Saccharomyces cerevisiae S288C: one gene and its partners. Changing the gene in region 1 together with any one later gene gives a genetic interaction. Each region holds a gene or a part of one and is shown in the gene's direction. Other genes may lie near its edges. The genes, in order: RTT107, RTT101, TEL1 and RAD54.

Region 1 (8,674 bases):
ACCAGTAGCATAATGCACAATTGTTTTCCTTCACCTACAACCCCACCCCTCTTCTTGGGGAAATCATTGTATTACGTACTTTTTTCCTAAAGATATTAGAAAAAAAAATGTTATGTATCAATATTACTAGGTAAAATACAAAAATGCGCTTTTGAAGTATAAATAATACAGTTTTGTTTTAAGAAATGCTATATATGAATTAATAATAAATGAAACGAAAAAAAGCACTACTTGAGTTTTAATGTCGTAAAACTTGAGAAAATTCTAAAGTGTCAGAAAAAAAGTGATTTTTAAGAAGGGACACCTTCTAGCTCGGATTTAGAGATTTTATTGATAACTCTTCTCCAATTTTTTCTATTATCATAAATGGGGACCCTCAATACACTCAAGTAAACGACAATACACAGTAGGGCAAAGGAACAGACTGACGCAGGGACCATCATTGTTACGAAATTTCTCCTAGAAATGACTTTTTCATATGGGCAACTAGCATAAGGACCACCACTTACCCAACAATTGCTTACTGATATAGAGTTCAAATCTATCCATATTTGTGTGTCAGAGAAGGAGGAATTCCTCATATATGCAATAAACGATCTCTGCTCCAATGGGCTTCTAGGAATATTAAATGAATACTGATCGGGACATTTAGATCCCTGGTAACTATCAAAATCAAAGTACGTAGCCTTATTTGATCTCACCAACCATCGGAATGCCATATTTTCATATCTACAGAGCCCAATATTAGAATTGTAACAGTTACCTACTCGCCATGTTACTGTCTCATTGTTAGCAAAGTAGTACAAGAGAACGCAATTGTAAGCCTCTAAGGTCCCGGATGAGCTGCCAGATTTAGAAGTTGACTGAGTAACTGAAGGTTGGTCACTATCCCATGACCAAACGCTGCCTTCATGAATTATATCTGCTAACTGCGTCACATTATTGACGTACGCTGAATTGCTTATTATTGGTGATAAACCACACGAAATATACTCTTTGATGTCCACGGAATTGAACAGCGAATCTAAGAATCTCCAATGGATAGATGATAAATCAGTCAGACCCTCTACAGTAGAGGGGCAATCTAATGTAGAGTTCCCCTGCTCATAATGAAAGACGTCATGAGGAAAAATATATGGAGCAGTAGTTTCATTAAAAAAATCGGTCAGCTCACCTATAACCAGTCTCTTCTTTTGTTCATATAGCACAGAGCCCAGAGTGGGCCAACCGTCAATGGACGATTTTCCGTAGATGTTCCAGGTATTATTCTTTGCTCTATCACTTTGTAAATCCGTAGGCTTGTAAATGAAACTATTTCCTAAATTTTTGTCCAGTATATAAGTAGTGTTCAAAGTTTGGTTTTGGTGGCGGTATTCTGTGGAATCCAGTTCAGGAGCTGATATATTCAGCAACAGTACAATGATATTCGCATAGAGGTTGTTTTGTGTGCTGAAGATGAATGACTGTAAAGCAGTTAGAACGTCGCTAAATAACAATGTCGTATCTACCACTCTCAAATCATTATTATATTGTTCCAAGTCGAGGACAAAAGCATTTGCTTCGGAGGATAGCATAGATTTGAACAAAGTCAGTAATCTTGTATTATTACCTTCATTTACCATGCTAGTCTCATTGTTCAACAGAACCCGTCGTAGATTCAAACCAACATACGGCAGCTGGTCTATAGTTAAGTTTCCCATGACATCTCTTTGGGACCTAAAGGCCACCGTCATTTGAGGGGACATCGTCGGCCAGACAGATGCTGAAACGGTCTCATTCAGATCATCGCCAACTGTCGTAGTAGAGTCAACAGCAGTAACCCACGTTCGCAGTGAGGACCATATGATAAATAGGTATATGAGTATCCACATACCGTGTCTATAACGATGCGAATGCAAATGAACAAAAGAAAAAGGGAAGAATAGAATGGAGATAGTCTTTGAAAAAGCGAGGTTAAAAGCGACTAAAAAATACCAGCAAAAAGGTGACAAATAAAGTTAAACAGGGTGTATCTCACCGTGCAGCGAACACTTCAATGTGACTTGCTCAGCCAAAGACTCATCAACATTTATGGAAATTTCAATGATTCCCATTGTATTGCCTCTTCCCATTGTGGAAAAAAGAAAAATGCCAAAATTGCAAACCCTAATTTAAAAGGGTTACAGAAAAAAAAAAGCAGGTCTGAAATGCAGTTCGCCATGGTTAATATCTTTTCCTAATTTGGAAATATGTAAACAGGGCATCTTTCCTTTTTTTCTCCTAATGAAAATTGTAAGCAAAAGCATGAAACAATACTGCCACAAGAGGAGAATTCCTCCTTTTGAAGTCTAAAGCGCCATTTCAAACTAGTTTTTAGGAGGTCAGCCAAACGTTCATTCAGATTAGTTACTATCTTGGAATACTTCTAGTAGGAAAACAAAATAACATATACAGTAAGAACAATAGAAAACGTATTTATGTCCAACAAGGCAAGTGACCAATCAGCACGCACGGCTTCCATCCTCAAGACTGATATTACCAGAGAAAACACAATCACCAGAAGCAGCAGCAGCAACAACGACAACTACCATCACCACAATAACATCAATAATTACAATGAATCGGCGAAGACAGGAGAGGACGCCAATAAAGAGAATATACCTAATTTAGAGGAGGAGATTGCGGCCTTTCGAATTTTTAGGAAAAAAAGCACTTCAAACTTGAAGTCGTCACACACCACTAGCAATTTGGTAAAAAAGACAATGTTCAAAAGGGATCTTTTAAAACAGGATCCGAAGAGGAAACTCCAACTACAACAAAGATTTGCATCACCGACTGACAGGCTGGTATCACCATGCTCATTGAAATTGAATGAGCACAAAGTTAAGATGTTCGGAAAGAAAAAGAAAGTCAATCCTATGAAACTGAACTTTAAAGGCAACCTTGCTGCCGATTCAGAGGATGTAGAAATCGATGAAGATGAGGAGTATTTCTACTAAAAAAATCTGCCTTTCTAGTCATCCAAAAATAGCCAAATGCTACACTAAACCAATAAGCAAACGAGTACATAAAGAATAAGTAAATAATAATTCAACAATACCTGATTTTTTTTTTCTTACATTTTTTTTATTATTCATTAAAAGCAACCACCAAGCTTTCCAAATTATGAAACCTTGATAAAATGGCTTCAAAATCTTGATCTGGAATTCCGTTTTTTTTGAAGAGGTCGAAAATTATTTGCTTGATTAGAATTTCAAAATCAATAAACTCGTCCATATCCACGCTGTTCCGTGTCAAACGCTGGTTAGCTTTAAAAGCTAGAAAATATTGATTGTTTTCAACATATCGACTTCTGTCTACTGGTGTAACCTCTGTAATAAAGTAGCGGGCACCCGTTTTCGATGGTCCATTTATTAGATCTAGTGACCTCTCCAATAAGATATCCCAATAAGCTATTGAGAATTTCAAGCGCGTGAAATTCAAATTTATCATCAGAGAACGATGTGCGGGAACTCCAGGGCTTTTCTGTATTTTCTCATAGACATTATTTATCAGTAATTGCAGCTGTGTAACAATAAAATTGACGCCACTTTCTTCGTCTTGTAGCTCCTCGTTAAGCTGCGAAATTAACCTGCTCGTATTCACAGTAACACACTTAACCACAGAATGTTCTTCGACATTAGAAATCTCTTGTATTTTTTGTACATCCCAAAAGAATTCAGACATTTCTATTGAACCATTCCAGAAATGTTGTTCCAGAAGTTTATTCTCTTGAACCTTTACACTATTTCGTATTTTCTCGGTTTTAGCCGCCCACTTTTCACGCGTTAACAGGGTAAGCTATATCAGATGTGACTTTTCTTTTTCACTCATCTAATGTTGTTTTTCGCGTCACATTTTTTGCCAATAAATAAATACATCACAATGTTCTATATTGTATATTCAATGGAAGTCATTAGGTTATTGGGCAAGATTTCAAGGAGGTAGCATACTGGTAAATATACGATCCATGAGCACATCACTTCTGTTTGAGCAGCTAAATTTTTTAATTTTAGTGGCAGCAGAGGCTGAGCTTCCCATCGCTCACTCTACTAGAAAGCTTTTGATGGATAATTCATGCAATAACTGTCAAATATACGAGCTTTATAACGAAAATTTGAAAGATGTCAAGACGGATAAAGATTGGTTCATGAACAAATTCGGCCCGCAAACAGTACATTTTGTCATTAGTAATACAATCAACTTTCCTTTTTATAAGATAGTTTATTTCGATCTTTTGATCCCGGTGGTATCACACACTTGGGTCCAGGATTCGGTCAAGACGAAGAGACATTTGAGGACAAATATGTATTCACCTAACCCATTTCATTTGCTCCGAGACTGTCAAGTATATATTTCCAAAAGCTCGTTTAATAAGTGTGAATACATATTATACTCTGATTTGCTTCATTTATTAGGAGGCACTTTAGTCAATTACATCTCAAATAGAACGACGCATGTGATTGTTCAAAGTCCCCAGGACCCGATCATAGCAACGGTCAGTAAATTGACATTTGGCTCTTTTTCCTCTTCATCGACCAACAAGCACACCGAAAAGCCTTTGAGAGAGTGGAAATTTGTCTATCCAATATGGATATTATATCATTTCAAAATGGCGAAGCCCTTGAAGGGCGAGCTTGCTACTTTGTGTGAGCTTGATATGCAGGACACCAGTGAGGAACAGTTATTCGCAAAATGGGAAGAGGTTATTGGCGATAAGCAGACATCATCATCGCAGCTTACTCTTCATCCAAACAAAACTTTATTCAAAAATCACCACTTTGCTATCTCACCAGATTTAAACTTTTTCACACCTTTGTATTGGTTTTTGAAAGGATTTATCGAGGATTTGGACGGCAAAGTAACTCCGTTGAGTTTTTCTGACGATCTGAAGTCTGTTTACCAAGCTTTTCCTGATATTGACTGTTATATCGGCCACTCTGCTAACTCACCGATACTAGAAAAAACCAAAAGCATTAAACCGGAAATTCATGTTGGGAACGTAAGTTGGTTGTTTTATATGTTTGCGCTGCAAAAATTTACACCTGTATCGCAATGTAAACTTATTCACCAACCATTTCATGCGAAATTATTTACTTCTAAGGAATTAACAGTCGCGTACACTAATTATTTCGGCTCCCAAAGGTTTTATATTCAGAGGTTAGTAGAAATATTAGGAGGACTTAGCACACCTGAACTAACAAGAAAAAACACACACTTGATCACGAAGAGTACAATTGGCAAAAAATTCAAAGTCGCAAAAAAATGGTCACTGGACCCGCAAAATGCCATTATTGTGACAAATCATATGTGGTTAGAGCAATGTTATATGAATAATTCCAAGTTAAACCCCAAAGACAGTAGATTTCAAAATTTTAAATTGGATGATAACATGGGATGGAATATCGGCCAAATAGGAATGGATCATTCATCTCTCCCAACTCCAAAAAACCTATCGATGGTGACTTACGACACGCAATCCATATCAGAGAAGCCGCCTCCCACAAATGATCAAATGGATCAAATTAACGATAACACCAATGTATTATCAAAGAAAGATGGTACGCCCATTAGTAGTTTTGAGAACTCAATTGATGAAAAGATTGACAAATTACAAAAAATATCAGGAGAGGTGGCTGTAACCCATTCTGGAGATTTAGAACGGAGTTTTGTTTCCAGACCTTCAAGGGCAAGTTTTCCAGTAGTTGACAGTAAAAAATCTAATTTACAAAAGAAAGACTCAAACTCAGATATTAGTATGGAAACAGAGGTTTTCTGTGAAGGACATGAAAAAAGAGAAGAAAAGGAGTTTACGAAACCTATTACGGAGTATGATGCACCTAAGAAACAAGAAATAAGGGAACAGTCACGCAAGAAGAATGACATAGATTATAAAAAAGAAGAGGAAGAAACGGAGCTGCAAGTTCAGCTAGGACAACGAACTAAACGAGAGATCAAAACTTCGAAGAAAAATGAAAAGGAGAAAGAAACCAATGAATGTCACATTGAAGTAGATCAAATGACGAATGAAAAGCAAGGGGAGGAAAGTACAGGAAAACTGATTTCTACGGAAGACGTCACTTCTAAAAAAGATACAGATAAATTCTCGCATTTGTTTGAAGGATTATCTGATAATGATGATCACATTAATGACGAAAAACCGGCAGTTAATTCCAAATATACCACACCCAAGACGTCTCAAAATATTACGAGTGGCGTTGATACTCCAACCACCGCGCAAACGCAAGTTTTTATGCCATCAAGTGGCAATTCAAGGTTAGCAAAGACACAAGCTGCGAAGAGATTGCATACAGATATTGAATCATTAAATGAATTTCAGAAAAACTTTAAAAGGAAGAGAATTGATAGCGAGGAGATTTCATTGTCCCAAGATGTTGAAAGGTCAAATAATAACAAAGAACTGGCTACTAAAGCGGAAAAGATATTAGCTAGATTTAATGAACTACCAAATTATGACCTAAAAGCGGTTTGCACCGGTTGTTTCCATGATGGATTTAATGAGGTTGACATCGAAATATTGAACCAACTAGGTATAAAAATTTTTGACAATATTAAAGAAACGGATAAATTGAATTGTATTTTTGCTCCAAAGATTTTGAGAACCGAGAAATTTTTAAAAAGCTTAAGTTTTGAACCGTTAAAATTCGCATTGAAACCTGAATTTATTATTGATTTACTGAAACAAATTCATTCTAAAAAAGATAAACTTTCTCAAATAAATATAAACTTGTTTGATTATGAGATAAATGGAATTAATGAGAGTATAATATCAAAAACCAAACTACCTACTAAGGTGTTCGAAAGAGCGAATATTAGATGCATTAACTTAGTCAATGATATACCGGGTGGTGTAGATACAATAGGCTCTGTTCTAAAGGCACATGGTATCGAAAAAATCAACGTTTTACGTAGTAAGAAATGCACATTTGAAGACATAATCCCAAATGACGTTTCTAAGCAGGAAAACGGAGGCATTTTTAAATACGTACTTATCGTCACCAAAGCTTCACAGGTTAAAAAATTTACCAAACTGATTAATGATCGTGATAAAAACGAAACAATTTTGATTGTTGAATGGAATTGGTGTGTTGAATCAATTTTTCATCTCAATGTTGATTTTACATCAAAGAAAAATGTTTTGTATCAAAAGAAAAATAACTAAAAATGGACACTATATATTACGTCATCTGACATACGACACTGATAACAAATAAATATATAATAATTATAAAGATGCGTTGTAGAAAATCTTATGTTCAACAAACAACCCACATATGATTAACAGACCATTTTAAATGTCTAGTTAGAAACAATTATTTGGTACTGTCTTTGAATTAGATTGTTTAATAAAGCATTTCTAATATAGGATACAAAGGGTCAAATAGTACCGTGAGTAGAATCATTTATTCCACACTTTATCCGCAAACCTTTTAATTTTTCTACAATTTCATGGATAAAAACAGATTCATGGCCAGAATGCGTAAAGCAACTCTATTGTACAATTTTCCACTCTGAGATATTCACACAGCGGAGAGCCCTTCTACTCAATGCGTCAAGAACAATGTTCCAAACCTAGTGTATTTTAGGTATATTATTACGAGAGTATCCGCAATGTTAATGACGCAAAATTTAATGGCTCAAGCCAACTACTAACGTTAGTAAGAACTTTTTGATCTAATAATTAAACAGGTTACATCCATAGATTTACGTCAGAAATCTTAAATAATGTTTACATGCGAACAGTACCAAGATACATATATGTGGAGCGGATGAGAGATAAAATTGGGTTAAATGGGAAACATTACGGTATGATGCATAATTTTGAGTTTGGGCTTATTATCCTCGTGCGTATTGTATCGTCTCAATATGAGTGAAGATAAATCACCTATTACCCGAACTTTGAAGAGAACACTCTGAAAATTTGGTGAATAAGAAAGGGCTGTAGGTATTATTCGCGAAGCTTTCATTTATTGTAGTGAAAACTAGGGTGACAGAAGCTGATGGTCTGTTCTTCGATTTAGTACTGCCAATTTCAAGTTTTTCACTTCTATAGCTTTGGTATTGGTCATTGTAGAACAATTTTATAATGCATGAACACAAAGCGGAGCTACGGCTAATAACCGTTGCACTTAACGAAGCATCCACCGATTCCCCCTCTTTTAGAGCTTCTGTCAATTATTTCCATACCAGAATGGAATCTCTGAGTAGTTGGATGCACAGTACTGTGGATTATGTAGAAAATACGTACAAGCCTTCGTTCCAAGACTTCCAAAGAATAAAGGAAACACTATTTTCACAGCTGCTCCCTTCTCCTATATTACTCTCCAATGGATTTGTCAGTAACCAGCCATATACTCCCTTGCTTGTAAGAGACTTTACTAGAGATGTCAGTGACCTTTCAAATACGGTTATGAAAATAATTTTAGGTGATGAAAACTCACAATACACTGCGGCATTGTCTGCTTTGAGCTCTGATGCTATTAACCCTTACTTCAACAAGAGAAAAACTTTTGAATACTACCAAAGGAAGTATGATTCGTTTTTAACTGACTTTTTAGCGGCCACTAATGATGGCAATACTTTAATTCCACAAAATCTGCAAAATGAAACATTCAAATTAGTCGATATTAAACAC
Region 2 (8,148 bases), on another chromosome or scaffold:
AACCGAAAGCTGCTCTTAAACCTGCACCGCCAGCGCCTACCACCACACAATCATATTCATGGTCGATAATATGATATTTGGCCGGCGGTTTCGATTCAGATTTCACTTCCCCAATTTGACGAACAACAGAGGAAGAAGTGAAAGTTCTTTGCAAGATGTATGATTTTGTTATTCCTTTTTTCAAAGATAACATAATTTATTAGCTCACGTGTATACATGTATATAGATATACGTATTTAGGCTCCTTCTTTTCTTATTTTAGCAGATAATTATTTAGAAAGTATATATAAGAACTTAGCTCTGACTAGAGTGAAAGAAATTTGCCGAAGTGTCGGTTGGATTGCCTTTTTTGCCACCTTGTGGAACCTTACTGTTCCGTTAAAGGGAAGACCCTTATATTCTAAAGGGAGCCACATAAGTCCGGAGAAGAGGAGCGCGACCTGAGAAAAGCGACTTGAGCGGCTAACGGGTTAATAAAGCTTACGGAAAATTAATGCATTGCAGCTTCCTATGAGTTTTGTCATTCTTATAGAAGCCGAAAATTCAAATAGATGATTTCTTGCGTGGAACCATAGGTATTCACACTATCTCTTCACAAAACTTGTTATATTGCAAGTATCTGTTGCCTCACATACGTACTGTATCAATCTGGATCTTAAAGTAGTAACTACAACAGCTTCAAAAAAAATCTCCGCGACGGGGAATTGAACCCCGATCTGGCACGCGACAAGCGCCCATTCTGACCATTAAACTATCACGGAAGAAACAAAGCACTCACGATGGGGGTCGAACCCATAATCTTCTGATTAGAAGTCAGACGCGTTGCCATTACGCCACGCGAGCTACTGTTTGTTGGAAGATTGGGATTAAAGGTAAACTATGCTTTGATTTCACCAATCTCGCAAACCAACGTTGAAAATCTAAACTCTCCTACTACATTTGCGTTTGGTAGCAGAATGTTGAGGAATAATAACCAATTACCATTTAGTTGACTAGTATTTATATGTCAACACTGTTGGAATAAAAATCAACTATCGTCTATGTTGGAATAAAAATCAACTATCATCTACTAACTAGTATTTACGTTGCTAGTATATTATCATATACGGTGTTAGAAGATGACGCAAATGATGAGAAATAGTCATCTAAATTAGTGGAAGCTGAAACGCAAGGATTGATAATGTAATAGGATCAATGAATATTAACATATAAAATGATGATAATAATATTTATAGAATTGTATAGAATTGCAGATTCCCTTTTATGGATTCCTAAATCCTCGAGGAGAACTTCTAGTATATCTACATACCTAATATTATTGCCTTATTAAAAATGGAATCCCAACAATTACATCAAAATCCACATTCTCTTCAGTCTATCAACTAGTAGTCATACTACCAATATATTATCATATATGGTGCTAAGATGATGGCATAAGTTATGAGAAGCTGTCATCGAAGTTAGAGGAAGCTGAAGTGCAAGGATTGATAATGTAATAGGATAATGAAACATATAAAACGGAATAAGGAATAAAACGGAATATTAGTATATAGAAATATAGGTTCCATTATGAGGATTCCTAGATCCTCGAGGAGAACTTCTAGTATATTCTGTATACCTAATATTATAGCCTTTATCAACAATGGAATCCCAACAATTATCTCAAAATTCACCAATTTTCATCTTTATCAAAAATGGAATTCCAACAATTATTAAGTTATAACCAAAATTAAAAATTCACATATTTCTCACAAACAAAATCTTTACAATCACTTATTGATCAGATATAATCCTGCAAAATGGAAAGAAATTATTAATTATGAAGAAGGGTACGGCGGCCAAGAGAAATTTCATCCACATTCTATTTAGAGCACATTAAAAAAATCTCCCGGGGGCGAGTCGAACGCCCGATCTCAAGATTTCGTAGTGGTAAATTACAGTCTTGCGCCTTAAACCAACTTGGCTACCGAGAGTGATAAATGATTAATAACCAAAAAATTTTGTTTCATCATACAAATTCAAAGAAAGTATTGTTTCATAAGAATGTTGCTGAAAGGACTTTGAGTGAATTGTGAACAGTTTGATAATTATTGGTCCAAATGGCGACATTGAAGACACAGTGTAAATTATTCAATGATGATTTGGCCTGGTTTTTACAAATGATTTTATCGACGTCAAGAGGATACAGTTCAAGAACGGTTAAGCGACATTGACAAAAAATGCTCAAAAACCACTGGTGCAACTTTACTGGTGGCAGTTTTTTGAAGTGAAAAGGAACTTTATTCTGGAGCGGAAGAAATTCAATAAATGTCACCACAATACCGATGCTATTCTTAGATGATCGATAAAATTAAGTACTATCTGTCGGTTTCTCAAATAACAGTATAAATATTTAGTTCACATTTAGAGACGGCTGAATCGTAACAAAATATAGTTCTTATAGATCTAAAGTACGAACACTCCTAATGTATCGCTTATATTGAAGTTTGCTGTGAATCTAGGACGCGTCTGCTGAAATATGCTGAATCAGTTTCCGGTGAAAGACTTTAATTTTGATATTTACCTACGTTATTTACAAGTGAATTGAAATATTCATCAACGTTATGTGTAACTGTCAATATTCTCCAAAAATCCTTTGAATTCCAAGCCGATTAAATCATTTCTATCACAATCATAAATCATGCCCTTTTCGACTTTAATTGTTAAGCCTTTATCTTTAATCTTCACTGAAAATTTAGGCCCCGAGAAATATTTCCATTGTTCGCTCTGTAAGGTGTTCATAGCATCTTTAATCTCATCGTTTATAGATTTAAACTCGTCACAGTAATATATAGGTATTTCGCCGTCAACTTTGAATGTTTTCTGAAAACGCTCGGATACCACTGCAATGAACTGATTAGGAGTAATTATACCAACATTTTTGATTTTTGATTTTACACTATGAACTCCACTTGACTCCCATTCCATATTGTTCGGTAGTGAGGGTTCTAATAAGCCGCTAAACTGTTCTAAATCCGCATTAAGCAACATCGTTGCATGATGGTATGCTTTGCCACCGGCAATTTTATAAGCACTGCCACTAATTTTAAACCCGTCCTGAATAATATCTCCTCTCTCATTCAAATCTAGTCTTAGTTCGGGATTCAATGAATTTAACCACTTAATTATCATTTTGTTGAAAAACTTTGTTTCGAATTTCTCCCTTGATGTTAAATATGAATAATTAACATTGCCCAAATCATGCAGTACAGTGCCACCTCCAGAAAATCTTCTAAGTAGTTCGAAATTCTTACTCTTCAGCTTAGCAAGATCTACTTCCTGCCACAGATTTTGGTTTTTGCCTATAACGGCGCACCTATCATTGATGTAAAATAACAGTCTGCAATTATCGGGACCTCTTTTGGCTCTTGGTGTATTCTTGAAAACATAGTTTTCAAGGGCCAAATTATAATAAGGACTGGTGGATAAACTTTGTATAACAAATCTGCCCTTTGCCTTTACTATATTTTCCAATTGTGAAGCAGACATGATCTGTTTGGCATATCCAATATTATAGAAATTGTACAAGTCTTTATTAAAAGCACTGATATCTTCTTCCATAGAGCTGGCCTTCGTCGTATCATAATCAGATTTACCTTCATCCTGCAAAATTGAAACGTTATCATTTGAAGGTGTAAACATGTTTTCATACATTGAGTTTATATCATGATATTTATCGTCTGCGTCTTTTGCCCATCGTGTAAGTGTGTGAAATAAAGTGGTGCAATGTATGAGGTTTCGCTGTCCCACATATCGAGGGGAGAGTGCCCAATTACTTAGCATCATAGACATAATGTAAACATCAAAGAAAAGTCTAGTGTTTTCTTCTTTTGTATTCATCAAAAATTCTACATACGTGAGCTCGGAGATTTTTGGATGTTCAATATTCCTGATTAAGTATGACGAAGCGGAACGCATAGCTATCCTTTGCGTAATGATGAATATGAACAATGCGAATGAAGATCATCGATATCTTTGCACTAAAAGACTACTTTGAAGGAATCCTCAAGATATTAAACCCACCAATCTTTTTTACTGGTATAAATTCTCGTACGGGTTCACAGGAACAATGATAAATGAGAGCGTTTCCAAGAGAGAAGGATTCCACGAGTCTATAAGCAGAGAGACGAGTGCAAGCAACGCTTTAGGACTATACAATAAATTTAACGATGAGCGAAATCCCAGGTATCGAACGATGATTGCTGAGCTGCACGAGTTTTTTCACCTTACTTTAGCTGAAACTATAACTGAAACTGACGTGAAAGAATTGGAGTGTAATAAAGAAAAGGCCGCTAAATTTAGAAAGCTAATGCCTAAGATGTTGAACAATTGCCGTGAATTAACGCAAAGGAAATCATACATTCCTTACAACTCAGAATTTAATGGGAATGACGAAAAGCAAAAGAAGTTTCAGCTGCTACATCAACACCAAATTGTGCTGAGTTTTCAAGAATTTTGTGATGAATTGGCAAAGTTAATAATTGACGCGCACGTCCTTAGCTTTTTGACCAGATGCGACTATTCTTATGAAATTATACCCAAAAATTGGACCTCTTTTTACAAGCTATTTCAGTACGTAATGGGTGCCGTTGGTCCTATTATATCGTATGTGCCGGTAAATTATCCCATGATAAGAAAAGAACTAGGATTTGAGACCTTAACGATATTTCAGTATTATGATTCCAAACTTTTCGAATGTATGAAGTCACATTTTGGAAGGGAATTTTCCACCCTTGTAAGCGCTACTATTCATCACTATATTCATATGTTTCCAATAACGAATACAATGTTAGAGAAGGAAGTTCCTATGCTCCGTATAATGTCTAACTGCAATTTTAGTATAGAGGGCTTGAGCCCCAAAGATTTTTATATGAAAACTCTCAGACAATATTACTGTGAGGAATCAAATTTAAGGCCGAGGCTGGAAACTTTCAAGAATTTTAAGGTACTATTGACGAGGAATGCATTATTAGCATCTTTATTTTCCCCTGAATGGGTCAGCGATGCAAATGACCTATTTATAAGCCATCTACTGTTGAACAAGAAGTCTATTAGCGAATACATAGAAATTGGGAAGGACACTTATGATGAAGAAAAAGAGAGATATTTCAAAACTGAGACACACTTTAGCTTATTGATGTTTAGAAATGCTTTTGAAGCAAAAAATATGCTGTCAAAATTCAAGGAATTCTGTGATGATGCCGTTTCAGAAAAGTTAAAGGCAGCATATGGATCCAATCATGATACTGAAAGGCTATTTGATGAGGTAGTTCAGCTAGCTAATGTAGATCACCTCAAAATATACTCCGATTCCATCGAGTACCATTTATGTAATTTACTTGGAAGTACCAGCAAAGCCATAGAACAGTATGTCAAATATTTTGAGTCACATTTATTCATCATCGTCAGAAAGATAAAAACAACTAAAAAAGACCTACCCAGAGATATGAAAATAAAGTATCTCAACGAAAATCTTCCTATATTGAGACTGAAGTTCGTTAACCTTCCCACATTTCCTAATTTTTTCGAAAGATCAATTTTCAGAAAGACGATCTTACAAAGTGATCAAAATTCCTCATTTATTAAGGATATATTACCTGTTTACAAAGACAGCCTCATGGAACTTTTCAAACAAAGAATCATAACAAATGTCTCACAAGAGGATGAAATGCGATACCGAGATCAATATCAACCCTATTTATCGCAATTCTTTCAGCCGGTAGAGGTTATGGCAGATCTGAGAATCAAATATGCATCGTTCTTGTCGTTTTATGAGAATATCGAGGCTGCTGTGAAGTTCGGGAAGACATACAATGAAAACAACAGCAAGTCATTTTTCCCACTTATCTTTGATAGAGAAAGAATTCCCAAAGTTTTTCAGCAATCCAACGAAGTAAAGAAAAATTTTGTCCTACCTCAAGAGATGGATGATACGTGGAACCAATTTCTCCGTAATTATCACGAGCAGAATAAAGTGGAAGATTCAGATGCTTCCAAAAAAGAGCTATATCCGATGTGGAACTTGCACCACTGCGAAGTGGAGTCGCCTTATATCATACAGGATGGAACTAACCTAATATTTGAATTGACCCTTTTCCAAACATGTGTGCTGACTTTATTCAACGAAAGCGATCATTTGACCTTGCAAGTTATATCAGAGCAAACGAAACTGGCGTACAAAGACTTAGCGCTAGTCTTAAAATCCTTCTGCAATTATAAAATTCTGACAAGAGATATTGACAACACATACAGTATCAACGAGAGCTTCAAACCTGATATGAAAAAAGTGAAAAATGGGAAACTACGTGTGGTTCTACCGAGAACCGCGTCTCTCCAAAGTAGCAACACAGGCGGTGAAAGAACCAGTTCTGCACACCACGAAGGAAGTAATTCCCAATGGACCCAAGAATTACTAAAGGCATGCATAACTAGATCCGTTAAGAGCGAGAGGAATGGGCTAGACTACGACCATTTATTTGAAACGGTAAAGCAGCAGATAAAAGGCTTTAGTGTTGGTGAGTTCAAAGACGCCTTGGCCAAGTTGTTACGAGACAAATTCATAACTAGGGACGAATCAACAGCAACTTACAAGTACTAAGACTGGTGCCATCTTATATATTACCTAACTACTGAGATAGTTTATAATCCGTACCAGCCCTAACTTTTTTTCCGACAGCATTTTATTTCCTTTCGTTTTTTTCGACTTCGTCGCTTTCTCCTCCATATAAAAAAACATCAAGAGATAAAAACTATCTTTCTTGTCCTTGTCCACGTTCAATACAACAGTTACACTGCAAACGACATTAGTGCAAATGCAAACTGTAGTCAATTTGCCGTATGCCTGACATACAACAGGTGTTGTATGAGTGTGACAAGGACACTTTATATATCTTTTTCAATCTCTCTATCCGGCCTTCTTGGCAGGATAGCTTTTCGTTTCAATTTGTTAATGATGATAACCAAAGATGCATAGTTCAACTGATTGAACATACTATCGAAATGAAGATAAAAATTTCCATCGAAATTAGTCTTTCGCTCCTATCTGAACATTACAAAAGAAACGAAAACTGTATTAGTAATATGCTTGTAATTGGAGAAGGGCCGAGGGGCGAGACCATTGTGGAGCGATTTTAAACCTCTTGCAGCACGAATCGTAACGGACCCAGCGCGTACTTTATTCTCCCTGTGCATTCGTGGAAGTTTTGAAACTCTTAAAAGTGGGCTCATCTGTCTGGTATTATCTGTGCCCCTGTTCTACATGTACTCGTGCTTTCTTTATTGCTTCTTTCGGTAACTCATCTTGCACATGCTATTCTTTTCGGAGTTAACGAAGCCAGGAGGAACCTTAATGGATTTACCTCTAGCGCGTCAACCCTAGAAGAGGGACTTTTTCCACATGAATAGTCAACTTTTAAGATTCGTTAGTAGTTGTATAGGGACATATATATGCACATATATATAATTATATACTTATACACTTGCTTACAGGGGACATTTTTGACCCTCAAAGGAAGTGAATTACAGGTATTGAATAACAGAAATGTACGAGATGTCAGGTATAGACAGCCTCTTTCATGATCGAGTTGTTCATGATTACTCTCATACTAGTGAGCAGGTTATCGTCGTTTACATTAGTTCAGCAGCCGGGGACAATTCTTGGCTTCATCAGTGGTTCAAACCAGGAAATCTTAGTGACGAGGAGCGCGAAAACATACTGTGGGTAAGGTTAGTAAATGGTACTAAAGAGTGCTTGCTTTTCAAGAGCATTTTCCCCTCCTCATCGGCGCCAAGCATTAACATATTACAGAACGGTCTACTCGAATGTTCTATCCAAGGTAATAGCCTTTCTCGTGAGCAGGATCCTTGGGAAACCTTTATCAATGGGTTACAATCAGTCTTTAAGGGTCAAGTAACAAAGAGGAAGTTATTTTCCAAGAGCAATGAAGAATATCAAAGAGTCAAAAGAATGATTCAGAACGACAAGTTGGAGAGGAAGTATGTTTTTCAAAATACTAATGACCCGCAAAGAAAGCCACAGAAGTGGAAGCAGTTGACAGTTACTGATAATGTTAGTTACAAGAGTCAAAAGGGGTTTCTCGCCCAGAACTA
Region 3 (7,797 bases), on another chromosome or scaffold:
CCGGCTCACAGAACGAGCCGTACAACCGTCATCAGACTTGCATGGAAATGTTGAAAAAGAGGTAAAAAAGAAAATATCAAACCCAAACACGCTCGGGCTGAAAAATTAATATGGCAGGAAACGAACTGTAGCCATAATGTACCTGTTCCCGCTAATAGTAATACCATCGTATTGCTAAGGTTAGTAGCTAAAAATCTCTTACTTTCTTTATTTTGACTCTTAGGTCTTACAAGCAATACAAAACCAACACACCTATATATAACTAATAATGTCCGGTAACGGTGCTCAAGGTACTAAGTTTAGAATCTCAGTATGTTAAAATTTTTATTTTCCACAATGCAATTTGGTTAAATTGATCATAAAGTAAAGTTCCAAGATTTCATTTTGCTGGGTACAACAGAATTAAACAGAGGTTTAAAAGACGCTAAACACTAAGTGTGAAGCCTGATCATATACCTATCGGTGTTATTTTCCATAAGAATGGTAGATGTGCCATCACTGGTACCGCCCCGCCAAAGATGCAATTACACACATAAATTCAGTTTTTAAATGGTTAAGCGGGCTGTATTTGCAGATGAAGTGATACCTGTCAATATTCATGGACTCAAAAATTTCTGGTTTCAAAATCATACACGGCAAGCATATCCTAACTCCCTCTTTTGCCCATACTAATGGATAACCATCGAAATGTTATTTCTACAAAAATCACGCTTAACTCTATTTTTCAAGATTAACCACATCTGCTAACTTTCTCCCTATGCTTTTACTAACAAAATTATTCTCACTCCCCGATATTGAGATCTTTTTTAACTAGTTAGGTCTACCAGTCGGTGCCATCATGAACTGTGCTGACAACAGTGGTGCCAGAAACTTGTACATTATCGCCGTCAAAGGCTCTGGTTCCAGATTGAACAGATTGCCAGCCGCCTCTCTAGGTGATATGGTTATGGCCACCGTTAAGAAGGGTAAGCCAGAATTGAGAAAGAAGGTTATGCCAGCTATTGTTGTCCGTCAAGCTAAGTCTTGGAGAAGAAGAGACGGTGTCTTTTTGTACTTCGAAGACAATGCTGGTGTCATCGCTAATCCTAAGGGTGAAATGAAGGGTTCCGCCATCACTGGTCCAGTCGGTAAGGAATGTGCCGATTTATGGCCAAGAGTTGCATCTAACTCCGGTGTTGTTGTGTAAAAAGGAAATTATTTTGACTCATACTCTTAGATTCTTCAATTATATATATTTTCTTTATAAATAACAATCTCTTAAACAGATTAAAGAAACTCAATAATTCATTGCATTTTTAGATGAAAATATTACTATTATCGTTCATCGAGAGAATCACATGATATTATGAGCGTGATAGGAGGGTCTATATATTTTTTGGGGTACGTCAAAAAAGCAAACAGACACGTTAAGAAGGTAAGAATAACAGATGATAGAATGTTTTGCTAGTGAGAAACAAGTATGGCACCAGCCGTACAATATGCATATTTTGACATTTTTCAAGGTAAATTAGTTCCAAGTTAATAGAATAATCAAGACTAATTGACTTCTCAAAGCCTCGCAAAAAAAGCAGGAAATTCGAAAAAAAAGCCTTCAAAGAAAAAGGGAAATCAGTGTAACATAGACGATGGAGGATCATGGGATTGTAGAAACTTTAAACTTTCTATCATCAACAAAAATCAAAGAGAGAAACAATGCTTTAGATGAGCTAACAACAATTTTAAAAGAAGATCCGGAAAGGATACCAACCAAGGCCCTATCTACAACGGCAGAAGCTTTGGTAGAGTTACTTGCATCTGAACACACAAAATACTGTGACCTTCTTCGAAACTTGACAGTGTCAACCACAAACAAGCTATCACTTAGTGAGAACAGACTCTCCACGATATCGTACGTTTTAAGATTATTTGTAGAAAAATCATGTGAGAGATTTAAAGTGAAAACGTTGAAGTTACTTTTAGCAGTAGTACCTGAATTAATGGTCAAAGATGGTTCCAAAAGTTTATTGGATGCCGTTTCAGTACATTTATCGTTTGCTTTGGATGCCCTAATTAAAAGTGACCCTTTCAAACTGAAATTCATGATACACCAATGGATATCCTTAGTCGATAAAATTTGCGAGTACTTTCAAAGCCAAATGAAATTATCTATGGTAGACAAAACATTGACCAATTTCATATCGATCCTCCTGAATTTATTGGCGTTAGACACAGTTGGTATATTTCAAGTGACAAGGACAATTACTTGGACCGTAATAGATTTTTTGAGGCTCAGCAAAAAAGAAAATGGAAATACGAGATTAATAATGTCATTAATAAATCAATTAATTTTGAAGTGCCATTGTTTTAGTGTTATTGATACGCTAATGCTTATAAAAGAAGCATGGAGTTACAACCTGACAATTGGCTGTACTTCCAATGAGCTAGTACAAGACCAATTATCACTGTTTGATGTTATGTCAAGTGAACTAATGAACCATAAACTTCCTTATATGATTGGTCAAGAGAATTATGTTGAAGAGCTTCGGTCCGAATCTCTTGTATCTCTATACCGTGAGTACATTCTACTGCGCTTAAGTAATTATAAGCCTCAATTATTTACCGTAAACCATGTGGAATTCTCATATATTCGAGGTTCAAGGGATAAAAATTCATGGTTTGCATTACCTGATTTTAGACTTAGAGATAGGGGAGGCAGATCGGTGTGGTTAAAAATACTCGGAATTACCAAATCATTGTTAACATATTTTGCATTGAACAGAAAAAATGAAAATTACTCATTATTATTTAAAAGAAGAAAATGTGATTCGGATATACCTTCTATCCTACGGATTTCTGACGATATGGACACATTTCTTATTCATCTTTTAGAGGAGAACAGCTCACATGAGTTTGAAGTGCTAGGATTACAATTGTGCTCATTTTATGGAACTTTACAAGACTTCACTAAAAGTTTTGCAGAACAGCTGAAAGAACTTCTGTTTTCAAAATTCGAAAAAATCCAATGCTTTAATTGGGTTTGTTTTTCTTTTATTCCTTTATTATCCCAAAAAGAATGCGAATTAAGCAATGGCGACATGGCACGCCTATTTAAAGTTTGCTTACCATTAGTAAAATCAAATGAATCTTGCCAGTTAAGTTGTCTTTTATTAGCCAACTCCATAAAGTTTTCAAAGCAGCTTTTATCCGATGAGAAAACTATCAATCAGATATATGATCTTTACGAATTATCCGATATTTTGGGTCCCATATTAGTTACTAATGAATCGTTCATGCTATGGGGATACCTTCAGTACGTTGGTAAAGACTTCCAATCTATGAACGGTATATCGTCCGCTGATAGAATTTTTGAGTGGCTAAAATCAAAGTGGAACCAGTTGCGCGGAACTGATGCTAAACAGGATCAGTTCTGCAATTTTATATCCTGGTTAGGTAACAAATATGACCCAGAGAACCCTTTCAACGATAAAAAAGGCGAAGGAGCTAATCCTGTCTCACTATGTTGGGATGAAAGCCACAAGATTTGGCAACATTTTCAAGAGCAGAGGGAATTTCTTTTAGGCGTAAAACCAGAAGAAAAGTCAGAATGTTTTAACACTCCCTTTTTTAATTTACCAAAAGTTTCCTTAGACCTCACACGTTATAATGAAATTCTTTACAGATTACTGGAAAATATTGAAAGTGATGCATTTTCATCTCCACTACAAAAATTTACTTGGGTAGCAAAATTAATACAAATAGTTGATAATCTTTGTGGAGATTCCACTTTTTCTGAGTTTATTGCAGCATATAAGAGAACAACCTTAATAACTATTCCACAACTTAGTTTTGATAGCCAAAACTCCTACCAATCATTTTTTGAGGAGGTTTTATCGATACGGACCATAAATGTAGACCATTTAGTGCTTGACAAAATTAATATGAAGGAAATCGTTAATGATTTTATCAGGATGCAAAAAAACAAATCTCAAACAGGAACTTCTGCCATCAATTACTTCGAAGCCTCTTCAGAAGACACTACCCAGAATAATAGTCCGTACACAATTGGAGGTAGATTTCAGAAGCCTCTGCACTCCACTATAGATAAAGCAGTGCGAGCTTACCTATGGTCTTCAAGAAATAAATCCATTTCAGAGCGTTTGGTAGCCATATTGGAATTTTCTGATTGCGTTAGCACAGATGTATTTATATCTTATCTTGGCACTGTTTGCCAGTGGTTAAAACAAGCAATCGGGGAGAAATCTTCTTACAACAAAATCCTGGAAGAATTCACTGAAGTCTTGGGTGAAAAATTGCTTTGCAACCACTATAGTTCTTCCAATCAAGCTATGCTTTTACTTACATCTTATATCGAAGCAATAAGACCTCAATGGTTATCTTACCCCGAGCAGCCTTTGAATTCGGACTGCAATGATATCCTGGACTGGATCATATCTAGATTTGAGGACAATTCTTTCACTGGTGTGGCCCCTACGGTCAACCTTTCTATGCTGCTGCTTAGCCTACTTCAAAATCATGATCTTTCCCACGGATCAATCAGAGGTGGGAAGCAGAGAGTCTTTGCAACTTTTATTAAATGCCTGCAAAAGCTAGACTCCTCCAATATTATTAACATAATGAACAGTATTTCGAGTTATATGGCCCAAGTGAGCTATAAGAATCAAAGTATCATATTTTATGAGATTAAGAGCTTATTTGGTCCGCCTCAGCAAAGTATTGAAAAGTCCGCTTTCTACTCTCTTGCAATGTCCATGTTGTCTTTGGTGTCTTACCCAAGCTTAGTTTTTTCTTTGGAGGATATGATGACATACTCTGGCTTCAATCATACTCGTGCGTTTATCCAACAAGCTCTGAACAAAATTACGGTCGCTTTTCGCTACCAAAACCTTACAGAGCTCTTCGAATATTGTAAGTTTGATTTGATTATGTACTGGTTTAACAGAACAAAAGTCCCTACTTCTAAATTGGAGAAAGAATGGGATATATCTCTTTTTGGATTTGCCGATATTCATGAATTTTTAGGAAGATACTTTGTAGAAATTTCTGCAATCTACTTTTCTCAAGGTTTCAACCAAAAATGGATCTTAGACATGTTACACGCGATTACTGGAAACGGTGATGCTTATCTGGTGGATAACAGCTATTACTTGTGTATTCCACTTGCCTTTATCAGTGGCGGTGTGAATGAACTAATATTTGATATATTGCCCCAAATATCAGGTAAAACAACAGTAAAATACCATAAAAAATACCGTCTACTGATGTTAAAGTGGATCATAAGATTTACTGATTTGGGCTCACTTACTGAACTTAGATCTACTGTTGAAAAATTATTCCCAACTTCATACCTTTCGCCATATTTATTTGAAAATTCCAGTGTTTCAATGAGGTATCAATACCCACTTCATATACCCTTGGCATTAGGAGCAACCTTAGTTCAGACGCAGTTTGCTCATGAAAAGAACAACACACACGAATTCAAGCTTTTGTTTTTATCGGTTATTACAGACCTTGAAAAGACATCGACTTACATAGGAAAACTGCGATGTGCAAGGGAGTTAAAATATCTTTTTGTGTTGTATGAGAATGTACTTGTAAAATCATCAACTTTAAACTTCATCATAATTCGGCTTTCAAAATTCTTAATAGATACACAAATTCACGATGAAGTAATAACAATTTTCAGCTCATTGTTAAATCTGGCTGACAAAAATACGTTTGAAATAGAGCCATCTCTGCCCAATTTATTTTGCAAAATATTCATTTATTTGAGGGAAAACAAACAGCTCAGTCCATCCTTCCAGCAGGCTATAAAGCTTTTAGAGCATCGGGATCTCATCAAAATAAAAACTTGGAAATACTGCCTTGATGCAATATTCGGAAATATAGTCCAAGATGATATTTATGAAAATACGGAACTTTTGGATGCTAGTGATTGTGGCGTAGACGATGTTGTATTGGTTTCTTTACTCTTTTCTTATGCCAGGAGACCGGTAGCTTCAAAAATCGGTTGTTCGCTTTCTAAAGCTGCTGCAATTAACATTTTGAAACACCATGTTCCAAAGGAATATTTGAGTAAAAACTTCAAACTATGGTTCGCTGCTCTTTCAAGAAGAATTTTACAGCAAGAAGTTCAAAGAGAGAGATCTACAAACTTTAATAATGAAGTTCATTTGAAAAACTTTGAAATGGTATTTCGCCATCCCGAACAACCACATATGATATACCAACGTATTTCGACCTTCAATAAAGAAGCTGAGTTATATGATTCTACTGAAGTGTTTTTTATTTCTGAGTGCATTCTAACGTACCTAGTGGGCTACTCAATAGGAAATAGCGAAAGTGAATTTTGTTTTAGGGATAACATAATGAACGAGAACAAAGATAAAGTTGCTCCATTGGACAAGGATGTACTGAATGCTATATACCCGTTGGCAAACAATTTTGGGATGGAATCATTCATATGCGATACTTATTTGTCAGTGAACGAACCCTACAACTGCTGGCTAAGCAAATTCGCCCGTAGTTTGATTCACCAAATATCATTTAATATACCTCCTATTGTTTGCTTGTATCCTTTATGCAAAGGATCAACAGCTTTTTGTGAATTAGTACTTACTGACCTCTTTTTTCTTTCAACGACTTACGATCCGAAAAGCTGTTTGAATTGGAGCAATCGAATATTCACTCAAATAGCAATGTTGCTGCATGTTAAAGATTCTGAGATAAAGCTAAAGATGCTTTTCAATGTAATTAAAATGATTAGGATGGGTTCTAGATGCAAGGAACGAAACTGTCTGCGCATATATTCTAGCTTAGATTTACAAGAAATATGTCAAATTTCTCTTAAAATAAAAGAGTTCAAGTTTGGCTATTTGTTATTTGAGGAAATGAACATGCCAAACATAAGAGAAATGAATATAAATACACTTCAGAAGATTTACGAATGCATAAATGACGGCGATTTTCTAGCAGGCTTACCTGTTCCACACTCAATAGAGGGTGTTTTGAACTCTATCAATAGAATTGACTCAGATACGTGGAAACGTTTTCTTTTCAACAACGCCGATTTTGATGCCAATTACACTACTTCACTAGAAGAGGAAAAGGAATCATTAATCAAGGCCACAGAAGATAGCGGTTTCTACGGGTTGACAAGCTTATTGGAAAGTAGACTTTCTGGATCCAGTGATGTCTACAAATGGAATTTAGAATTGGGAGACTGGAAGCTATTGACTCCAAAAGTTGTTGATTCCAAAGCCAAAGGTTTATACTATGCCATAAAAAATTTACCACAGGACGTTGGTTTTGCTGAAAAAAGTTTAGAAAAATCCTTATTAACTATTTTTGATTCTCGACAACATTTTATTAGCCAAACTGAATGGATGGATACTCTGAACGCGATTATTGAATTTATAAAAATAGCAGCAATCCCTCAGGACGTTACTTCCTTCCCCCAAACATTGATGTCTATTATGAAGGCCGATAAGGAGAGACTTAATACAATAGACTTCTATGATCACAAAACAACGTTAAAGAGTAGACATACTTTAATGAATGTGCTCTCGAGGAATTCATTAGATGAAAACGTAAAATGCTCGAAATATTTACGCCTTGGATCCATTATTCAGCTTGCTAATTACGTTCAGCTGGCAATTGCCAATGGTGCGCCTCAAGATGCGTTACGAAATGCCACTCTAATGAGCAAAACAGTGAAGAATATTGCAAAATTATACGATGATCCCTCTGTAGTATCTCAAATTGAGAAATTGGCAAGTTTCACATCTGCTAATGCCCTCT
Region 4 (8,045 bases), on another chromosome or scaffold:
AACTTGATCTGGATACCCGTTTGTGTTATATTGAATATATTGGATATGTCCAAGCGCCTGAGGACTGTTCAAGCAATTCAATGGGCAATTGTGGCTCTTGGGTGGGCACAGTCGTCTTATTTCTTGAATTCTCAAATATCGAGTAATAATAATACGGAGACACAATCGAACGGGAAATTTTCGCTGTCCATCATCGTTGTCGTTGCGCTGCATACTTTATTCTGTCTATTGTTCAGGTTTATAATATTTTGAAAATATGCGCACGTCTATACACACAATACTTTTTATGACTAGTATCATTGTATACTCTTATTATGTAGGGTTATACATGAGTGTTTATACGTTTTCTGTGTGTACATATATATCCATATATGTTAATGCTAAATGCAAGTTTTGTGATGCTATTCATTAGAGATGCCTTTGTCTAAAAATCAATGCTTTTATAGTCATCATAGGTTATGTCGTAAATGGTTTTATCCTTAAATTTTAAGGAGATTTTGGATGAAATGTTTATGTCAGCTCTGGTAAAGCCTTTTGAAAAAGTACATTTATCATTTTTTGGGAAATTAGTGGAAGAAGAAGAATGCTTTTTCTTAATGCATGGTAAACAAGGTGTGAGCAAAACCAACTTATCAATATGCTTAATCAACTTGCGTGAGCCTGTACCCTCAATGACATCATCCGGTATGGCAATATTCCGCAACAGCGTGCCTCGATATAGCCGAATATCGTCAGGAGTCAAGACGTACCGCAACTTGTTCGAGATCATTGGCATTATAGTATCGTCTTGAAGCAAAATCTCAATTTTCGCATTACATTTTATTTTTTTCAAACGACATTTGTCACAACTTGGGCCACTTCTTTGTCTCTTGGAAATTGAACTAGTAGATGTGGCAGAGGAGGTTGTCGAGTTGCTCGTTGAGCGCGAAATTATAGACATTTGAGTGCATGACGCATTAGCGTCTTCATTGACCATGGAAGCAAGAGCATGAGGATGATACTCAAACAATGGTGGAGTGTAATTTTGTGGAGGGGGAACAATCGCACTTACGGGGAGCGTTGGCGGCGGCGTCACCGTGGCAATACCAATAGCGCACTCATTACTGTCAGCGGCAGCAGGCTTTAATCTCTTATAGCCTCCTAAAAGCTCGTCAGTCGGAAAAGCCCGCTTCCTCGTCCAAGTGGTCGACAAGAGTTCTGGATCGGTGATGCCCACATTTTGGGTGCCTTTACGCCGTATATCTTTTTCTAGCAGGGAAACATTGGGGAGCAATAGCGGTGGTAGCGATCGATCTCTATTTCTTACTGTAATGCTTGTGGACATCTTCTTTTGACATACGATGACCTCAATGATTTAGATTATGTGTTGCACTTTTATAGACCTACCAAAAATCCAGTGCGTACACTAATACTTTCATAAAGATACCTGAAACAATAACCAGAAAGATCGGCAAAAAAATTTTTTTTCTTTGCCGAGATCACAAACCTACTATGACGAAAAAGCTTGAAGTTTAGATGAGTAAGGAAAATACAAGTGACGCTTTTATATGGTGCAAGGAACAAAAACTAAAAACAACAAGGCAAATGTGGATCTGTCATGTATGGCAACGACAGCAGGATGGCTCACAAAAAAAGACAAAAAAAACTAAGGCAAAAGAACAAAGCTCCTCTCCTGCTCAAGAAACGTATTGTTGAAAAACCACCGTCGTAAGAAAGTTTTTCTGTGACCTATAATGGTTTAAAATCGGCCCATTTTTTTTCCCTCTTTTGTGGTCCAGTCTTTCTCATACTCGAGGGAAATTCGACACAAACAGCGGAGAAGTGTGGCTAAACCGGCAAGTGCCTGCAAGATCCACAGAACTAACCGCACGAACTGGCGGTCAGAAAAGAGCCTGTTCCGGAAAGAGAGAAACAGAGAAACGATCATGATGGGAAAGCGGGGATTCGGCGAAGAACGAGACTGGAAAGGGAAAAAGAGAAATACTGGTGGAAGTATTCGGACCTTTGGCGAAGTCCGAACCCTTGAAACCCAAAGATGATCGATGATTCATTTTTCAATGCGCTACGGTTCCTGCCGCTCGTGGGAACCCCACGCAAAACATATTATTCGCTTCTCTCTGCTGACAACTCCGGTTTACGTTATACCGTATTAGGATCACTATAAGGGTTCCTTCGGGAGGAGGGGGGAGGGGAAGAATGTACATCGTCATAAGGCCTTTATGGTGTGAAGTGGGTTTTGCGTGGAAAATTCGTTTTCAATGATATAGAGCCCACGCATATACGTACATACTAGTGGCCAAAAGCGTGGGGTGGGCGGACAAAGCTACACTGGTAAAATACAGGATTCTATGAACAATAACAACAACCAGCTCACGTTGCTGAACAGCCGAGGTCAGCCGATGCAACCGAGGTTTCCAAAGTAGCATTTCTGTGCTAGCTATGTCTGTAGGTTTACATTTAATGGTGCGTGGTTCCAGCTTCATGTGCTTGCATGTGATGTCCTGCAGATGGTAAGAAGATTCTGAAAGCCGCGCTAGGAGAAAAATATTCTGCTCGAAGATCTGTCCTCTTAAGTAGAAAGCGTGAAATTGTTGCGTTCTTGCATTACTACTCAACGCGTACGCAAATGCGTCTACTGCACCTGCATGATAAAGCTTATGTATCAAAAATTTAACATCTTGAAAATACACAAGTGGTGCAAAGATGTGTCACGTTCTGGACCTGAGTGGTGCCATGTATGCTATTTAACATGCAAAGGGGAAGACCCTTCCGCCTTACTGCAATAATAAAAAGTATTTTACGCGTTACCCAATATAGCAAAGTTTCGCGCAAAAAAAAAAATAAAAAACAATTACAAACAAAAAGAAAAAAAAGGAAATAATAGAAGATCTAACTGAAGCGAAGGCCAAAACTCTTCTCACTTGACGTAATAGCCGATACAAAATCTAGAGCAGCAACTTTTCTCTTTCTTCACTAAAGCTGCTACGAAAGTATAGAAAAATCAAACGCTCAGAACTTAGCTCTATTTCAAGGTACCATATATATTTCCTTATAACTGATGGCAAGACGCAGATTACCAGACAGACCACCAAATGGAATAGGAGCCGGTGAACGGCCGAGACTGGTACCTAGGCCTATTAACGTACAAGACTCGGTGAACCGACTAACGAAACCGTTCAGGGTCCCGTACAAGAACACGCACATCCCGCCCGCTGCTGGTAGAATCGCCACCGGGTCTGATAATATCGTAGGAGGAAGGAGCTTGAGGAAAAGATCAGCGACTGTATGTTATTCCGGCTTGGATATAAATGCGGACGAAGCAGAGTACAACAGCCAAGACATAAGTTTTTCTCAGTTGACTAAACGACGGAAGGATGCTCTTAGTGCTCAAAGGTTGGCCAAGGATCCGACAAGACTGAGTCATATCCAGTACACTTTGAGAAGATCTTTCACTGTGCCAATCAAGGGATATGTACAAAGACACAGTCTGCCATTAACGTTAGGAATGAAAAAAAAAATTACTCCAGAACCTCGACCTCTACATGACCCTACAGACGAATTTGCCATAGTGCTTTATGACCCGTCCGTTGACGGTGAAATGATTGTCCATGACACATCTATGGATAACAAGGAAGAAGAATCAAAGAAAATGATCAAAAGCACACAGGAAAAGGATAATATTAACAAGGAAAAGAATAGCCAGGAAGAAAGACCCACACAAAGAATAGGACGCCATCCAGCTTTGATGACAAATGGTGTGAGAAACAAACCGTTACGTGAGCTACTCGGTGATTCGGAAAACTCTGCGGAAAACAAGAAGAAATTTGCTAGTGTCCCTGTGGTTATTGATCCAAAACTGGCCAAGATTTTAAGACCCCATCAAGTCGAAGGGGTGAGATTCTTATACCGTTGTGTCACAGGGCTTGTCATGAAAGATTACTTAGAAGCTGAGGCGTTCAACACTTCAAGCGAAGATCCCTTAAAGAGCGACGAGAAGGCACTTACTGAATCTCAAAAGACTGAACAAAACAATAGAGGGGCCTACGGCTGCATCATGGCCGATGAAATGGGGCTGGGTAAGACATTGCAGTGTATAGCACTTATGTGGACATTATTAAGACAGGGCCCGCAGGGTAAAAGACTTATCGACAAATGTATCATTGTTTGTCCATCTTCTTTAGTCAACAACTGGGCTAATGAATTGATAAAATGGTTGGGTCCCAATACTCTAACTCCGTTAGCGGTTGATGGGAAAAAATCTTCAATGGGTGGTGGTAATACAACAGTTTCGCAAGCTATTCATGCCTGGGCTCAGGCACAGGGAAGAAATATTGTTAAGCCCGTTTTAATCATATCGTATGAAACATTACGTCGAAATGTTGATCAATTGAAAAACTGCAATGTGGGTTTAATGCTGGCAGATGAAGGGCACCGTTTGAAAAACGGTGACTCTTTAACATTCACAGCTTTGGATAGCATCAGTTGTCCTAGAAGAGTTATATTATCTGGTACACCCATTCAAAACGATCTTTCCGAATATTTTGCTCTACTGAGTTTTTCGAATCCTGGCTTATTAGGTTCCAGAGCAGAATTTAGGAAAAATTTTGAGAATCCAATTTTGCGAGGGCGTGATGCTGATGCTACTGATAAAGAAATCACAAAGGGCGAGGCGCAATTACAGAAGCTATCTACCATTGTCTCCAAATTTATTATCCGTCGTACTAACGATATTTTGGCCAAATATTTGCCTTGCAAGTATGAGCACGTTATTTTCGTAAACTTGAAGCCGTTGCAGAACGAGCTCTACAATAAATTAATTAAGTCAAGAGAAGTGAAAAAAGTAGTAAAAGGTGTTGGTGGGTCTCAGCCCCTGAGGGCTATTGGTATTTTAAAGAAGCTATGTAATCACCCTAATCTCTTGAATTTTGAAGATGAATTTGACGATGAAGATGATTTGGAACTACCTGACGATTATAATATGCCGGGTTCAAAAGCCAGGGACGTACAAACAAAATATTCAGCTAAATTTTCCATTTTGGAAAGATTTCTCCATAAGATAAAGACCGAATCCGATGATAAGATTGTTTTGATCTCCAACTATACCCAAACCTTGGACCTCATTGAAAAAATGTGTAGATATAAGCACTACAGTGCTGTACGGTTGGATGGTACAATGTCAATTAACAAAAGACAAAAATTGGTGGATAGGTTCAACGATCCTGAAGGCCAAGAGTTCATCTTCCTCTTAAGTTCTAAAGCAGGTGGGTGTGGTATCAATTTGATTGGTGCAAATCGATTAATTTTGATGGATCCGGATTGGAATCCTGCTGCTGATCAACAAGCTTTGGCACGTGTTTGGAGAGACGGTCAAAAAAAGGATTGTTTCATTTACAGATTCATATCGACTGGTACCATAGAGGAAAAAATCTTTCAAAGACAATCTATGAAAATGAGTTTGAGTTCATGCGTGGTCGATGCGAAAGAAGACGTTGAAAGGTTGTTTAGTTCTGACAATTTAAGACAGTTGTTTCAAAAAAATGAGAATACGATATGTGAAACACACGAAACATACCATTGTAAACGTTGTAATGCTCAGGGTAAACAATTAAAGAGAGCCCCTGCAATGTTATATGGTGATGCGACAACTTGGAATCATTTGAACCATGACGCATTGGAAAAAACAAATGATCATCTACTAAAAAACGAGCATCATTACAATGATATCAGTTTTGCATTTCAATATATTTCACATTGATCTCTTACATACATGTACTTATAAAACAAAAACAAAAAGTAGAATTCGATCGTCGGGGGGTCATTACATATTTATTTTAAATGATGGGCATGGTTATATATATTTAGACGTAATAAACAATTGAAAATTGGGGCCAAATTGGTAAATATCTCTATGTATTTCAATCAAAAAAGTATAATCGTATAACTTAAGGGTAAAAAAAGTTGAGCGATGTCATATTATACTTGTGCTAGCTTTTAAATTTTTCATTATCTTCAGTTTTATCGTGGTAAAGTGCCAGCCGAAACTGCCAAAAAAGATTATGGCAAGAAAATCTCACGCTGTCAGGGAAATAAAAATCTGATACAGTTTCACACTCTCAGAAGGATTAACTTTAACTATTACCTAACACCAATATCTGAAGAGAATGGATGAAATTCTTGCCAAAGCAGGTTCACAAGCCGTTACATTTGCTATAAAATCCGGAATATCGATAGCATCCACATATGCGCTAAAGACAATAACGAACTTTGTCGTCCAGATTCCTAAGGATGATGCTAGAAGAATAGATCAACTGAAATTTAAACTGGAAAGCCGCATGGCTATTGTATCCAGTGCAATTGACCTAATAAAGCTGGTAGCGGCGAGGGGAAACACGAATTTGCAAATCACTCTGAGGTTAACCAAGGATTTAAAAGAAGAGATTGATAGGTTTGATGAGAAGATCAACGAAATGACGCAGAAAGTTGAGGGTTCCAGGAGCGCAAAAACACAGAATGAAGCTATTAAAGCGGTAGAAAACTATATAAAGGACTTGCTATTGAGGATCGAAGAAATCACTCCATTCATTAATCTTTCTTTAACCACTTCTGGTGCCAACTTGAACAGCGCACTCCCATATCAACTTTCTCCTGGTTTATTATTAAAAGCCTCCGATTTCGTTAGCGAGAACAATAGAAAGTATGAAAAGGCAATGAAGAGTAATGAGAAAGGAACAGGTGACAAGGAGATTCTAAAAGTTCAAGTGGGGCCTACATTTGAGGTTACACTATTCTCTATTTTCTATAACCTAACTTCAGAAAACAATGGGCAATCAGGAATTGTTTGGAAAGAGGATATGAAACGTGCAAAAGCAAGGATATATAGATTGAACTCTACAGGCAGAAAGTATGATTATTTTATGAAAATAGAACAAGACTTCAATGACGGTAGATATCATGAGGATGATGACAAAGAAGACACACCACAGGAACTTGCCATAGATCTGAACCATATTAAGAAGCTGTTTTTCAGTGTTTCCGGTAAGCTTCTCCGATTAGAAGAACAGGATTCTCCAGTGTTGGTATTGAAGATTGACCGGAGCGATGACAAAGAAAATGAGAGCAGTGAAGGAGACAAGGGATTACTCGATGACATTACTTGGTATGCGGTAAGCGGATATGAAGCGATAGAGGAAGATGAAGAGGAAGATGAAGAGGAGGACGAAGAGGAAGGAAAAGACGGAGAAGAACGAAAGGAAGAAGAAGAAGAAGAAAATAAATTGGAGGACAAGGATTCGTCGATCACACTACTGGAGTACATCATTCGGCTGACGTCCTTACAAAGTAACGATCAGAAAAGTATATTGGAAGTGAGTGATGAAAGGTTATCTATATATTTGAACGATGAAAATACGAACTCCAGAAAGGATAGAATAAGCAATTCGACAATTGAAGAGACAGAAAAAAAGTTAAAAAACCTAAAACTTTAGGATGGTTACGTATCCTGTGCAGCCTTGGACAAATTTTATAATTGTATATATCTATGTATATGTATACGAATGGAAAAATTTATCCGAATCTCGGCCCGACTGCCAGCTTGCCGGGAGAACAAACAACCGCCAATATATGTATATGTATATTTATATAGATGTCCAGATGCATTATTGTGAATGTGAGTTATGCGAAGATACTTGTTTGTATAGCTCGTTCAACTCATTGATGGAGAATGGAATGTCAATATCGTTTAGTGCTGTGTTCGTAGTTGTATATGCGCTTCCTGTTTCATTGATACTAACAGGTTCCATAGATATACTAGGGCTTTGCTCAAGCGGATCGAGGGAAGCCAAATCAAGATTGTCAATGCTGTCGGCCTTAATTTCTCCGTTTTGCAGAGGTGGCTTCAAACTCGGCAATGTGGTTGTCATGTCTACATCCGACGAGCGACCATTTAGGCCCAAAAGAACGTCCAGATCTGCAATACCGAGACCATTGACATGCGCTGCTTCATCATTTGCCCTTCTGTGGCATGACCCTCCCTTTGATTTCCGGCT

What was found.
Region 2: mutations in RTT107 (region 1) and RTT101 impair growth when combined (synthetic growth defect), as found in Saccharomyces cerevisiae (4 studies listed by BioGRID, with this or other methods).
Region 3: mutations in RTT107 (region 1) and TEL1 together harm fitness more than expected from each alone (negative genetic interaction), as found in Saccharomyces cerevisiae (7 studies listed by BioGRID, with this or other methods).
Region 4: mutations in RTT107 (region 1) and RAD54 together harm fitness more than expected from each alone (negative genetic interaction), as found in Saccharomyces cerevisiae (4 studies listed by BioGRID, with this or other methods).

What each region holds. Positions count from the first base shown.
Region 1 is NC_001140.6:398,978-407,651, forward strand, and holds RTT107 (Rtt107p), read left to right. Parts: upstream 1-3,988; coding exon 3,989-7,201; downstream 7,202-8,674. Other genes in the region: PEX28 (Pex28p), read left to right, coding at 1-13; MTC6 (Mtc6p), read right to left, coding at 291-1,871; SPO12 (Spo12p), read left to right, coding at 2,457-2,978; SPO16 (Spo16p), read right to left, coding at 3,109-3,705; LAM1 (Lam1p), read left to right, coding at 8,126-8,674. UniProt on the Saccharomyces cerevisiae protein: Required for resumption of chromosome replication after DNA damage, specifically in S phase. Is recruited to chromatin in the presence of RTT109 and RTT101 in response to stalled replication forks and acts as a scaffold during DNA repair.
Region 2 is NC_001142.9:348,069-356,216, reverse strand, and holds RTT101 (cullin RTT101), read left to right. Parts: upstream 1-4,108; coding exon 4,109-6,637; downstream 6,638-8,148. Other genes in the region: succinate dehydrogenase SDH9, read right to left, coding at 1-193; AIM22 (putative lipoate--protein ligase), read right to left, coding at 2,602-3,831; YJL047C-A (uncharacterized protein), read left to right, coding at 7,039-7,173; UBX6 (Ubx6p), read left to right, coding at 7,580-8,148. UniProt on the Saccharomyces cerevisiae protein: Core component of multiple cullin-RING-based E3 ubiquitin-protein ligase complexes (CRLs), which mediate the ubiquitination of target proteins.
Region 3 is NC_001134.8:53,211-61,007, reverse strand, and holds the start of TEL1 (DNA-binding protein kinase TEL1), read left to right. Parts: upstream 1-1,625; coding exon 1,626-7,797. Other genes in the region: 60S ribosomal protein uL14 RPL23A, read left to right, coding at 269-310, 815-1,186. UniProt on the Saccharomyces cerevisiae protein: Serine/threonine protein kinase which activates checkpoint signaling upon genotoxic stresses such as ionizing radiation (IR), ultraviolet light (UV), or DNA replication stalling, thereby acting as a DNA damage sensor.
Region 4 is NC_001139.9:191,417-199,461, reverse strand, and holds RAD54 (DNA-dependent ATPase RAD54), read left to right. Parts: upstream 1-3,058; coding exon 3,059-5,755; downstream 5,756-8,045. Other genes in the region: YIP5 (Yip5p), read left to right, coding at 1-252; SUT1 (Sut1p), read right to left, coding at 425-1,324; YRB30 (Yrb30p), read left to right, coding at 6,162-7,484; CUP2 (Cup2p), read right to left, coding at 7,656-8,045. UniProt on the Saccharomyces cerevisiae protein: Plays an essential role in homologous recombination (HR) which is a major pathway for repairing DNA double-strand breaks (DSBs), single-stranded DNA (ssDNA) gaps, and stalled or collapsed replication forks.